4 linked regions of the Drosophila melanogaster genome follow. The protein of the gene in region 2 interacts with the protein of the main gene of each other region in a pairwise test. Each region holds a gene or a part of one and is shown on either strand. Other genes may lie near its edges.

The links.
Region 1: the proteins of yip7 (region 2) and Prosbeta5R1 interact in a two-hybrid assay, tested with the Drosophila melanogaster proteins (one large-scale study listed by BioGRID).
Region 3: the proteins of yip7 (region 2) and Cpr12A interact in a two-hybrid assay, tested with the Drosophila melanogaster proteins (one large-scale study listed by BioGRID).
Region 4: the proteins of yip7 (region 2) and CG18598 interact in a two-hybrid assay, tested with the Drosophila melanogaster proteins (one large-scale study listed by BioGRID).

Annotation. Positions count from the first base shown.
Region 1 is NT_033778.4:23,308,113-23,311,353, reverse strand, and holds Prosbeta5R1 (proteasome beta5 subunit-related 1), read left to right. Parts: upstream 1-1,537; 5' UTR 1,538-1,625; coding exon 1,626-1,775; intron 1,776-1,831; coding exon 1,832-2,629; 3' UTR 2,630-2,700; downstream 2,701-3,241.
Region 2 is NT_037436.4:6,033,467-6,036,738, reverse strand, and holds yip7 (yippee interacting protein 7), read right to left. Parts: upstream 1,524-3,272; 5' UTR 1,497-1,523; coding exon 1,237-1,496; intron 1,181-1,236; coding exon 628-1,180; 3' UTR 564-627; downstream 1-563. Other genes in the region: CG10477 (uncharacterized protein), read left to right, coding at 2,134-2,393, 2,446-3,004.
Region 3 is NC_004354.4:13,541,651-13,545,435, forward strand, and holds Cpr12A (cuticular protein 12A), read left to right. Parts: upstream 1-1,992; 5' UTR 1,993-2,123; coding exon 2,124-2,436; intron 2,437-2,843; coding exon 2,844-3,052; 3' UTR 3,053-3,257; downstream 3,258-3,785.
Region 4 is NT_033777.3:18,249,189-18,252,053, reverse strand, and holds CG18598 (uncharacterized protein), read right to left. Parts: upstream 940-2,865; 5' UTR 911-939; coding exon 776-910; exon of another isoform or gene 711-775; coding exon 576-710; 3' UTR 515-575; downstream 1-514. Other genes in the region: CG12320 (uncharacterized protein), read left to right, coding at 1-494.

The sequences.
Region 1 (3,241 bases), on a different chromosome or scaffold from region 2:
CAGCGCTGCAACGATTCGCAGACGGGAAGCTCAAGTTTGGCCTAATCTCTTATTCGCTCTTGACTTGGCGTCATTTTAGTCATTAAAACAGGTTCAGACTGAGTAATCTGCCAGCCACTTCAGGCCAAAAGCGAAGGGAATGGCCAGATTCTTCCACTACGCTGCCTTAGTTAGTTGCCCTCTAATAAACTGGCAGCGGAAATTTTTAACAAGTTGTTGCCAGTGCACAAAACTGGGCTGTAATTAACGCAGGACAGATGCCGCGCAGGGCAGGGAGGGGGAAATGGGGATTCGGGATGCAGGATGATGGTGGCCAGGAGGAGCTGGTGGAGTAGCATCGTCTGGGTTAGACGAGATTTTGCATATCAGATTGCTGCCCCGGCTCCAGTTTGTCCCTGCCCTGTGATTTAATAATCAGAGCTGGCTGTCAAAACTATCCAGCAACTGCAGCGCTGCGAAAGAATTGTCATATTTGTTGATAAGCTGAATACCCTACAGCAATCTAAAGTTTATATAATAAATATATACAAAATATACCGACAAACCTTAAGTATCCAATTGGATACTTAAATAATACTTAATACTAATACTTAGACTTAACATTTAGATAGTCCAGTAAACTATTATGCTTCGTGACCAATAAAATAACAGTGAGTGGTTTCATGTACTCATAGTTAGGGTATGTTTGGATGAAGGGCTTAGCCAGCTCGTTTCTTTTGCCTCGATTTTTCCTTTCCAGCCCGCCTTTCTCCGAATTGCTTCCGCCCCCTTAGTTTTCCATTCGAAGGGCGGGGGGAATGCAGGCTGCAATGGAAAGCGCGTGCAAAAATGAAATGTGCCAATGTGGCGGATGGGAGATGCGGAATGGGGAATGGGAAATGGAATTCGGTGGTTTGGGGAATGCGGAGGCCAAGTCCTCGGCAATTTGCATAAATTTAGATCAGTGACACATGGCGTCCACTAATGGAGGCAGTGGGAGCAGCCGGAGTGACTGCGACTGCCACTGGGATGGGACATATATCACGGGGGGTATCAGGCCAGTCGACCCGCGGACTCAAACAGTTTGGCAAACATTGCCAATTGGCCTTTAATTAGCGGCTAATCCGTTTGCCACCGCCTGCGAGTGGGCGTGGTCACTGCGAAAGCACCTTCTATGCCATTCCCCACTCGTTTTGGTCCCAATTTCGCATCTCGGCAGGTGGCGATGATGACCCTGCCCGGCAGTCCAATTAAAATGTCGTGTATCTCTGCGGTGGCGCCACTGCCACTGCCACTGCCACTGCCCACAGAAGGTCCATTGGATTCCACTTGGGTGGCCGGCGAAAGTGCCGCTGCGACCACTCTCACCCACTAACCATGAAATGCCAATGGAATCGGAGACTGCGAATTGCCGCTGCGGATTGTCCAGTGGAGCGAAACTTTCAAGCGGAATGCGATATTTTGATGGGAACAAGATGTCCAGCTTTCTGATCTTGTGATCTTGTTTTGATTAAAGTACATTTTTGATACACTTGTAAGATGCCTTAGAGACTTAACTCCACAATCATTCGAGCTCGTTTAGTGTGCTCATTTACACATTACACTAAACTATTTATTGGAAATAATAAACTCTTTTTGAACACATAATGGCTCTGGAAGCGATTTGCGGCATGAATAAAATGCCTTTTATGCGGCGCTTCGATGACTTGCAGTCCGAATGGCAGAAGGAGCAGCTTCGCGAGGCAACCAGTAATTTTGAGAATCCCTACGAACTGATGGCGCCTCCCTTCGAAAGAGTTAGTATAGGTTTCATAATCCAAAAGATCCATCTAAGATTGAAACTCTTCTCAAGCCCGCTGAAAATCTGCCCAAGATCCTGTCGCACTGTGGCATTCGCATGGATTTCGATCACGGCACCACCACTCTGGGTTTCAAGTATCGCGGAGGAGTGATTCTGTGTGCTGATTCTAGGGCCACCTCTGGCCAGTATATTGGATCCCAGACGATGAGGAAAATAGTCGAGCTGAACGACTATATGCTGGGCACATTGGCCGGCGGAGCCGCCGATTGCGTCTACTGGGATCGGGTTTTGGCTAAGGAGTGTCGCCTGCACCAGCTGCGCTATCGGAAACGCATGACCGTGGACACGGCTGCCCGGATCATCTGCAACATATCCACGGAGTACAAGGGCATGGGTCTGGTGATGGGCATGATGCTGGCCGGCTTCGACGACGAGGGACCCAAGCTGATTTACGTGGACTCGGAGGGCATGAGATCCCATGGTCAAGTCTTCTCCGTGGGCAGCGGTTCTCCATATGCGCTCGGCGTATTGGACACTGGGTACCGCTATGATCTCTCCGATCAGGAGGCCTATGACCTGGCCAGGCGAGCGATTTACCATGCGACCAGTAAGGATGCCTATTCTGGTGGAATCGTGCGTCTCTACCACATTCATTCGGAGGGCTGGCGAAATATCTGCAATACGGACTGCTCCGATCTCCATGACTCGTATTGCGCATCTGGGTGTCCGGGGAACGAGAAGGATGTAGGAAACGTAGGCGATCCCGACAATGATAAGCCCTGTTCCAGTGGCTGGACGAAGAAGAATATCACAGCAGACAATTTGCAGACTAAGCTGGCAACGGTATGAAAATTTGGAAATTATTGGAGCAACATTAGCAAAAATTTCTGTGGAAGTAAAACTTCTGTCGTGCAAAACGTATAAAGTGTTAGTGTTTATGGTAATGGGAATTTGTGGCAGTGAAGAAGTCCGGAATTTATCGTGAGAATAGTTTTCCGAACCGTATGCTGGATTGTTCTATCTAATCCTCTTCAGTTCTAAAAGCACACATACAGATACATTTCAAAGTTTTAGCCACTAATAATGAAAACAAGAGCTGCATACATACAAATGCCTTTCGCCCCGCACTCGCCACACTTTAAAAGCTGTGCTTCTATCTAATTTTTTTCACTCCTCAAACTCCCCTCTCTTCCATCCTCCACTGCGGAAAATATACGAGCAACTTTCGCTCGCTAAACGAACTTTTCCTATAAATCAAAATAATAACTTCTAAGCTCGCAATGACTTTCCCCAAATGGGCGTGCCGCACACAAAATACGGCCAACGAAATGTTCGCCGAAATGTTGCACTCCGTGTCTTTGGGTTGTCATCAACAAATGTTGCAGATGCCACTGCCTGGAGACTCCGTCCGGGGGATCTGCTCCTCACTGCCCATCCCCTCCCCCTCCCCCGCCGGAAAAG
Region 2 (3,272 bases):
TCGTTTGTTAATTGAATTTGCTTGGGCCGAGTGCAAATTATACGGAGACGGGAGGAGCAGCAGATGTTTGGCATTCAATTCCTCCAGCTACCGTGTAATTGCCGCACGTTTTGGCGATTATGTTGCTTAGGCTAGGCCTTCGTCTCCCTTTGGCATACTGCAGTTTCCTTAATTGCTTTCGAACCCCCCATTTTCCCGGGTCCTCAATTGCACGATTTCAGTCTTAGCCCCCAACATTGGCCAGAATGTCTGGGTCGGGGTCTCTGTATTTATTGACTGTCGTTTTATCAACGCTTAGTTTATTATTTGTTTAATTTACTGCACACCTTCGCCTGCATTTCGACACATGAAAGGCCATTGATAATTTTCCTGGAGTTGAATGGCTGTGGGGTTTTACAATCCAAGGCCCCGATTTCGTCACCGATCATAAAGTACCCACTTTGGCGATATCAAAAGCCAGAAGTGTATTAAGTTAGTCTATAAGAGTTATTATGAAATCTGATTCATTAAACGGTAAGAGAGTAGATCTCAATCTCTAGACATTATTTAAAAGTCTAACATGTGTAAAATCATGATTACAGTTTTATTTATAATATTTTGCAGTTTTCATATTTCATACTTCAACACTTAGATACCGGAAGTTTCCTTGATCCAATCGCGATAGTAAGTGATACGGGTGAAAGCAGCTGGTGCGCCAGACTCGCAACCATCAGCGGATCCAAAGGAGGTGGCACCGATGAGGACACCATCGAGAGCCAATGGGCCGCCGGAATCACCCTGGCAGGTGGAGGCCTTGTTGGTGGTGTCAACGCAGAGGACCCTGCTGGTCACGATCAGGCTTCCGAAGGTTTCCTGGCATTTGGAGTTGGAGATGATGGTAAGGTCCACGTACTGCAGATCGCGAGACACGGCGGTGGCTTGGTCGGAGGTGAGACCCCATCCGGAGGCAACAGCGGTCTTTCCCTCGTAGGTGGAGTAGCTGTTGGAGACGGCGGGCAGGCTGATCTTGTTCACGGTAGCCGAGAAGGACACGGACGAAGTCTGGATCAGGGAGATGTCGTTGCGGATGGTCAAAGCCAGGTAGCTTTCGTGCTGCCTAAACTTTGAGCTGCTGACGACTTGGGTGAACTCGGGGCTAGTACGGACAGTGGCACCGTAGTAGATGGTCACGGAGGCGGCACTATATTGGAAATACTCTCATTAGACCTGGTCTTGAAGGACGGAAAATGCACTTACCCGTCGGTACAGTGAGCAGCAGTCAGCACCCACTCGTTTCCGATGATGGAGCCACCGCACCACCAACTGCCAGCAGAGCTGGAGAAACTAAGTCCCACCTGGTAGGGGAACTGGCCGGCAACGGCGTCCTTGCCGTTGGTGATGCGACCGGTGATGGATGGGGTCGAGACCCTGTCACGGGGATGTACAGGGGCAATATTGGGCAGGAGCCCAGCGGAGGCGGAGGCCAGAGCCAGAACCAAAACTACGAAAACCTTCATGCTGATGGTTGCTCAAACTATGAGTGATTTTCCCTTTCCAACACGGCCTCTTTTATACCCAGACTGAGAAATCTTATCTGCATAGATGGCTGGGCAAGTCCACTTAAATGTTCTGATTAAGTGTCGCAAAAATTTTTTTAAGTTTATTATATGGCGCTTTTGTAAAATTTTTCTATTTGATAAGATATTAATGTAGCTACTGGCATTTATTTCTTCATCACAAATTAGGGACTTTCAAATTGTGCGAATAAAAGATAATTACTTTGGTAGCATTACCACTTTTGTGCTTTTGTTTTGCTAGTTGGGATTTGCTTGGTTAAAAACAATTATTTATTACTTATCAATATTTCTTTATCTTAACTGCCTATTTACGTTGTAACTTAAAGAGTAAGCCATAAAGAATAGGACTTTATAAAAAGATTCCAAAGCAAACATTTGCTTTTATTTTATTTAATTCTTGGTAAATTGGAAGCAATATTGCCATAATGATGTAAGGTACAGTGGTTTTAAGACCTTTTTAAGCCTATTTAATGGTTAAAGATTTACAATTCTGTTGTTTCGCTGCTGATTTCAAAGACAATATAAAATGATCCTTAATACCAGAAATTGCTCACTCTTTAAAGTGTATTCGATCCAGATGAAGGTTTTTGCTGTCTTGGTCTTGGCAATTGCCACAGTTTCTGCTGATATCCTGCGCCAGGACACTCCAGTACATCCCCGTGATAGCTCAGCTGTTCCGTCCATAGATGGTCGCATTACCAATGGAAACAAGGCAGCTGCTAACCAGTTTCCCTACCAGGTGGGACTCAGTTTTAAAAGCTCGGCTGGCAGTTGGTGGTGCGGTGGTTCAATAATAGCGAATACATGGGTACTAACTGCTGCTCATTGCACCAAAGGGTGAGTAATTTTTTTAAAAAATCGATAATCGATTTAAGATTTATTCTGTTAGAGCCTCTTCCGTGACCATCTACTATGGGTCCACCGTTCGCACTAGTGCCAAACTGAAGAAAAAGGTCTCCAGCTCCAAGTTTGTGCAGCATGCCGGCTACAATGCGGCTACTTTGCGCAACGACATCTCCCTGATCAAGACTCCATCCGTCACTTTTACGGTTTCCATAAATAAGATTGCCCTGCCCGCCATCGCCAGCAGCTACTCCACCTACGCCGGACAGACTGCAGTGGCTTCCGGATGGGGCAGGACCTCCGATTCCAGCATTGCCGTCGCCACGAACCTTCAATACGCACAATTTCAGGTCATTACCAATGCTGTGTGTCAGAAGACCTTTGGGTCATCTGTGGTCACCAGTGGAGTTATCTGCGTGGAGTCCATCAACAAGAAGTCGACCTGTCAGGGCGATTCTGGCGGTCCGTTGGCTTTGAACAATAGACTAATTGGTGTGACCTCGTTTGTGTCCTCCAAGGGATGTGAGAAAAATGCGCCTGCTGGTTTCACCCGCGTCACCAGCTATCTGGATTGGATCAAGAACCAGTCCGGTGTGTTTTATTAGCCGTAAAGCCACGCAGTCCAGTTTTCATATTCCTAAAAAGCATTGCCTATTTTTGAGCGGCTATAGGAATGAACCCAACAGCGCAATCTGAATTGTAACTGATTATGTTTTTTATGTTGGACATACCCTTATCTTTTTCTTATCTAAAACAAATATTTTGAGTATTAATTACGTAATAAGGAACCTTTTTATTCATTCCATACAAGAAAATACCAAGAATTTTAGAACGTTTTTTTATTATTGTTAAAAATATTAGAAAATGGCCTTG
Region 3 (3,785 bases), on a different chromosome or scaffold from region 2:
TCAGTTTGCGCCAGGATGAAGGAAGTGCCTGATGTATCTGTTGCCACTTTGGCAAGTTTAGCGCGCCTCTTCTGCCCGCCCAACTGACGCACTGACAAAGTGACAAGCTGACAGAGTGACTAACTGACAGAGTGGCAAACTGCCACAGTGACAAACTGACTGCCAGCTTGACTGCCCGACTGACTGAGCGACTGTGACTGCGCTTGTCACTGCGACTTGGCCATAAATCTGCGCCGGATGCCGCGAAAAATGCAAAACAATGTGGCTAAAAATAAGAAGCAAAAAATATTAAATTATTTCATAAATGCTATCTGCTTAAGAGGTGACTGGGCCTTAATGCACCGGCGTGACCTTTGAGGTGTGCGCAAATTAATTAAACGGCGATAAGTCCGTGTCGACATATTGACAGCTGCCCCCGAGCAACACTAACCAATAAGTTTCGCTGTCCCTGAGCTCCTGCGTTTCCTGGGCTTCATGGGCTTTCTCGGCTGCCCGAACCCCCCGGCTCAATTGCACATCATTAACTTTGGCCGACTGACCAAGTGGGTCCATTTCCCCAACCCCCTGTGCGCCCCTGGCATTCAGCTGGCCAGATTCCAGGCCTGTGTTCGCTAAATCGCTGCACATTAAATGCAATTAAGAAATGATTGAAATCATAAATTAGCCCTAATTGGCCACAGGACGCTCGCCTCGTTCGCTCCTCCTGATGCTCCTGCTGCTCCATATCTTCCTTCCCCTACGCACCCCCCCCCCCCCCCACCGATCATGTGCCGCCCCTGGTGTTGCATCTCCACCGCTCGGAATACGCTGCCTTTCAGCTTAACGATGACAGGCGGCACGTACTGGCTGGCCAAATTGTAGGGTGCAAGAATTGTAGTATTTTTAGCTGCTGCCCAGCACCGTGGGCTGCAATCTAAGGATCCGCTTCCCTTATATCTTTATGTCTTAAACCATAAATATATTTAGCTTAATGTTATACAATTTTTATAAATCATTACACCAGCTTATTAGCTTTAATATAATAGTATATTTAGCATAGAAACCAGCAATATAGATTCGACGGATAAAGATACCTACTACTCACTTCAGTCTTTATATACATATATCTAAAGTGTTTTCACAAATTAAAACAACCATATTTTCTACAGCCTAATAAAGACATGAATTTAATTGCCTATTAGTTGTTGAACAGCCATTCTCAACGGTTAGCACAAAAGGCACTTTATAGCGATTCCCTGGCCATCCATCAATTGGCTGCAAATCGATTATGTCTGCCGTATCAGTTTCGAACTGTGATTGCTTAGCCCCACGCCCTTTCCGCCACATCCGCCCCCTTTCCACCTTAACCCCCGGAATGCCAACATTATCGAAACCCACTGGTTAACCCATTGTGAGCAATTTGGCGGCCGTGCGAACAGCGCCAAAAGCAAACACACAAAAGAGGCGCAACCAAATTGCCCAGTTAGCAACCTGTCCAGCCCCTGCCCCGCCCCAACCGCCCCCTTTAACCCATTGAGCTGGGCACACCGATAAGCATGTGTGTAAGTAGATGAAATTAAGATTTTTTTTATATGATTAAGCGTCGAGAATTTTTGACGGCAATGGCTCAGAGAGATGTGCGTGCACTGAGCGAAAAAGGTACGATTTCTGCATTATATTCTACAAATATATATATATAGATTTTATCAAAATATTTCATGACTTCTGATAGATACAAATAAAATATAAACGAGCCTCATAAGTCTTAAGCTTCTAATTATTTTGTAATGCAGTTAGCTGGCTTATTGCTAGGATTTTTAATGGTTAAATGGCGCAACTCCTTTTCTAGCCGTGTACTCGGCTCTCAGTCACCCTTTCGGATATCCCGCTTCAGCTCAGGCTAAAGATCTTCGCTGCCTCGGTCGCCGCCGACTGCGCTGCTCGCCTCGCTGCCTTCTCGATGTCGACTATAAAAAGCCAATGTTACACTGTTTCCGAATTAAACCGCTAAGAAAACATCGCGCGACAGCACACACACCATCCACCTGCGTAGCCCAAACATCCCACACATCCATCCCACCACCACCCATAAATCACATTACATCCACATATCCACACACACATTCACACCGATCCGAGTTAAAATGGCCACTTCCGGTTCGATCCTGTTCGCCATCTTCCTGCTGAGCGCCACCCTCATTTCCGCCCAGCAGATCAAAGAGTCGGCGCCCAGTGCGCGATTACTAGATCGATTCGATAACCGATATCCCGACGGCAGCTACGAGTATCGATTCGAGTTGGACGATGGAACCGCTCGCTATGAACGTGGATATTTCGTTAAGATCAACGATGTAAAGACCCTGATGGTTGTGGGCTACTATGCCTATCGGATGACCGACGGGCGTTACATCACCGTCTTCTACAATGCCGATCAGTTTGGCTATCGACAGAATCAGTGTAAGTATCGGAATTGCGGTTTTCGGTGTGAAGTGATCACAAAGAATTTCAAAGTGATGACAAGGGGCTTTCATTCTTAGAAATATTTTATGTATTAAACACTAAAATATTCATAAATAAGCAAATTATTTTCATAGGAAGGATATGATTTGTGTACTTTGTTACCCTTTTTTTTATATAATTTGATACACTAGATCGATTATTTCGAGTGAGAGCACACGAATGACGGCTCTTTTTGAACACGAGTGAAATGATTAATGTAAACGAGCCAACCATTATCGCAACTCTTTCAGCGAAAATTAATAAGACACGCAAACACCCGTCGATTATTTTCAGCCCAAGAGCACAGATAGCCCTCCACTCGAATCTGGTTTATATTAAATTATATTATTTTGCTACGCCCACAGCGATCACGCCGCAGGAATATCCCAATCTGCCGCGTTCCATCGAGGTGCCCATGGTCAGCGAGGCATCTGCGGCATCCGCGGCATCTGATGGCGTCTCCAGTTCCCAGTTCCAATCTCAGTTTCAATCCCGTCTGGATGCCCATGGTAACCCCTCCATCACGACGACCACGCCCAGGGGGGCGGGGACAAATCGTAGGGGCCGCTACTGAGAGTTCGTAATTGCACACCATGCCCATTATTATTATTGGCTCCCTACATCGTTTTTTATACCTTATTTTATTATTTTTTTTTTTTAATTTTGTGCCCCCGACTACTCGTATTATATTATTATGAATTTAATTTCTGTCCACATTTTTGTTGTGTTCAATGAAATGGGATTAAAAAATAATAAAAATTTATTAAGGCAAAGCAGCGAAAAATTATGAATTTATTATTGAAGATGTTTCCAGTTGTTTGTAGCTGTTTTGTGGATCTGTTTTTTATTGCTGTCCACGCCCCTTCGCGCCTCCAGCCCCCCTTACCAGAGTTCGTTGCGAAGATTTCGCGATTTTTCGAAAGTCGCCGACAATTTGGCAATAAATTTACCACAAAGCGTTTCGGGCAATAAAACATACAAGTGCAGGGCGGCCCCTCGCCACCCTGGGGTTATATATATATAAATATATATACATATTGGATCTGGACATATTTTTGCATTTTTAACACATTTTTGGCGAGGTTCTCGAGCCGAGGGCAATTAAGAAACGAAAACGAAACCAAACAAGAAAATGTCCAGTGCACAGAGAAAAACTATAAGGTATTTTCAGCAAAAAAAAAAACAAGTTGACTTAATAAATAATTACCGCACTTATTGCCTACATAATAATTTCATTGATCAATTTTATTCTGTGCAGTAGAATTAATGTATAAATCTAAGTATCTGACTTTATATGTATATGTATA
Region 4 (2,865 bases), on a different chromosome or scaffold from region 2:
TACCCCTGCGTGTTCCACAAGATGCCCTGCCCGCTGATGTTTCCCGCCATGCCTTGGACTGCATCGATGCTGTTGACAAACTGCTCGAAGGCTTTGAAACGGCCGATGGACTCATTGAGGAACTGCAGCTGGCTTACGCATTTTTCCTAGTGGGCTACTCTGTGGAGTCTCTGGCCCACTGGCGCAAGCTTTTGGGCTTGCTGGCTCACTCGCAAACGGCGGTCACCAAGCACAAGTTAACGTACATGAAATACAGCGAGGTTTTGGCCCACCAGCTGCCCCATCTGCCCGAGGAGCTGATGGTGCCTGGTCCGCATAACACCGTCTACAAAGATGTACGCGAACTGCTGGTCAATCTGCATGCGGGCGGCTTAAGTGTCAGCGCTGAGCGGCTAACTAAGCGGCTGGAGAAAAAATTGGGATGGGAATTCGAGGGCCTGCTAGACGAGGATCCCGAGGACCAGCCTGTAGTCATCGAACTTCCGGAAGCCTAGGAGAAGGGCGCTACGCATGTGAAGTGTAATTCATATATTTGTAATACAATGGACTGAAACTGATCTATATTGATTTCTACTTTAACGCAGCGAATGCTGGGTGCGCAAGTAATTCCACAGATCCCGAGCCGTGCGGATGCTGACCATGAATTGGCACAACTTGGTCTCGATCAGGCAGAGAATCAAGAACTTGGCCCGCTTGTCCTTTAGCAGGGACTGCAAGGAGTATGGCATGGACATGGGTTTTCTGTAGCCATAAACGGCGCCACACCATCACTCACCTCCTCGTTGTTCTCGGGACCATTCTCCACCACCGTCCAGAGTTCCTCCGACTCCAGATACGCCCGCACCGTCATCGACCAGGCCTTGTAGTTGTCCAAACCTTTGAGCTTCTCAATTTGCAGCTGCAGTGCCATCTCCGAGACTCGAGCAACGTTTCGCAACTAAACCGCATTCGGGCCCTTTGCTGTTTCCTTACCTTCGCCTCTTCCAGCTGTTGTCCAGATTTTTAAATATAGATATCTTAGTATTTGTATCTGTATGCACACGGCTTTTCCATTGTGCACATCAGCAAACTGAAAACAATGGCCACTAGACCCACTTTTCGTGTTGCTTCTGGCCCAGCTATACATTCAGCTTAAGTGGACACTTCTGATTTGACGCAGAAGCGCTGTCGCTTTATGTGCCTGCCTGCTTGTATTTTCCGATGACCACAGAATTTAGTTTGACATATATTTCTTCTGAGCAGCAGCAGTGCGCCTTCTAAGCTCGCATCTTTTGGATGCATTGACAGGTACGAATCTTCATTTTCTGTGGCTAAGTCTTGGTTAATAATTAAAAACTGAATGTGGGATTGATCTCGATTCGAAGCTATGCTTGATTAGCAAATGATAATGATAGAAGAAAATGTGTTTGAAAATCTTTATTGAAAACTTCATTTAAAAACTATGTAAAATTTCTCTATCATACTGAACGCGTGAAATCAAGAAAGATGCATGATTGAAAGGATCACTTAAAATAAATCCGTCAAAATGTAAAACAAACTAGTTTTATTGTTATTTATGGTCGACTTCCAAAAAAAAAACTAATAAACTAATAGAGAAACTGCGTGCCGATAAGGAAAACATTCGGTTCCTTTCTATATTTTCAATCTTTCTATGATTGACTGTGACCATTTAAACAAGCCCATAAAAACACGAGCCCCAAACTCAATTAATAATAAATTGTGTTGCCCAATTGTTGTTTTGTTTTTATGATTTTTATTTGAAATGAATACGAATGTCAGTTTTAGCTGCTGGTTTCTTGTATTGCTGTTGTTGTTACGTTCAAGAATGTGGCTGTTGTTTTTGCTGCCTCGGCTGATTTATGCTTAATTAACTTTCTGCACGGGCCTTTTCTATTCAGCGACTGCAAAATATTAGTCTGCCTTCTTTCCTCATTTATTAAATTTATTAAAAAAAAAAAAAAACAACCAAAAGCGAAAAACAAAAACCATGCGAAAGAGCTGCGAATAAGCTCGTGCGAAAATTCTCCCGTAGCTTCTGCACAGCTCATCATTCTATTTTCCTTCGCTAATCACGCAAACACGCTACAGATAACTCTGCCGATGATGGTGTTGTTCTTGTGGAGAATCTTTGGGTTTACTTGACTTCGGGGGCTAAAAATCAATGTGGTTTTGGACTGTCTGTCGGGGAGTTTTGGAATCGGAATCTCTGGAGAGATGGTTAGTTGGGTGGTGGGGCGAAAAGTTCGAAATCTCTACAAATTACATAAGTGGTAGGCATAGAAAATATACAAGTATATATGTATACAATATATATATATATATATACGTATATATATGTACCGTTGTTTTGTTTTGTATTCTTTTTGTTTCTTGTATTTAGCAACTACAAATACTTTTCTATATTATTAATATGTTTCTTTGTTGCGCAAGGTAAGAGATGATGAAGAAAATTGTTTGCGATTGCGATGGAGAACTCAAAACGAAAGGCGAAAAACAGAAATCCACCAAATTCCCGTTCGATTGTTCGGTTTCGTTTCATGTGATTTGACCATGCATGGGTGTGTGAGTGTGAATATGAGTGCGAGTGTGAGAGAGCAAGGAAACGCTAAGAGAAAACAAACGGCTCGTATGCGTAATATGGGTGTCTGTGTGGGTGGTGGGTGTGTGTTAGTCTGCGCGTGTGTGTGTGTGTCTGTGAGGGTGTGTCGGTGTTATTGAACAGTACACTTACATACATACAAATTTAAGCTTAAGAATTCGTTTTGAATTTCGCTTAACTAACATTCCTTTTTCTCATTTAATATAGTTTTTAGCTTTTTGCGTCTTTCATTCTGTTTGCTCATTTCGTTTCGTTTACTCCATTTA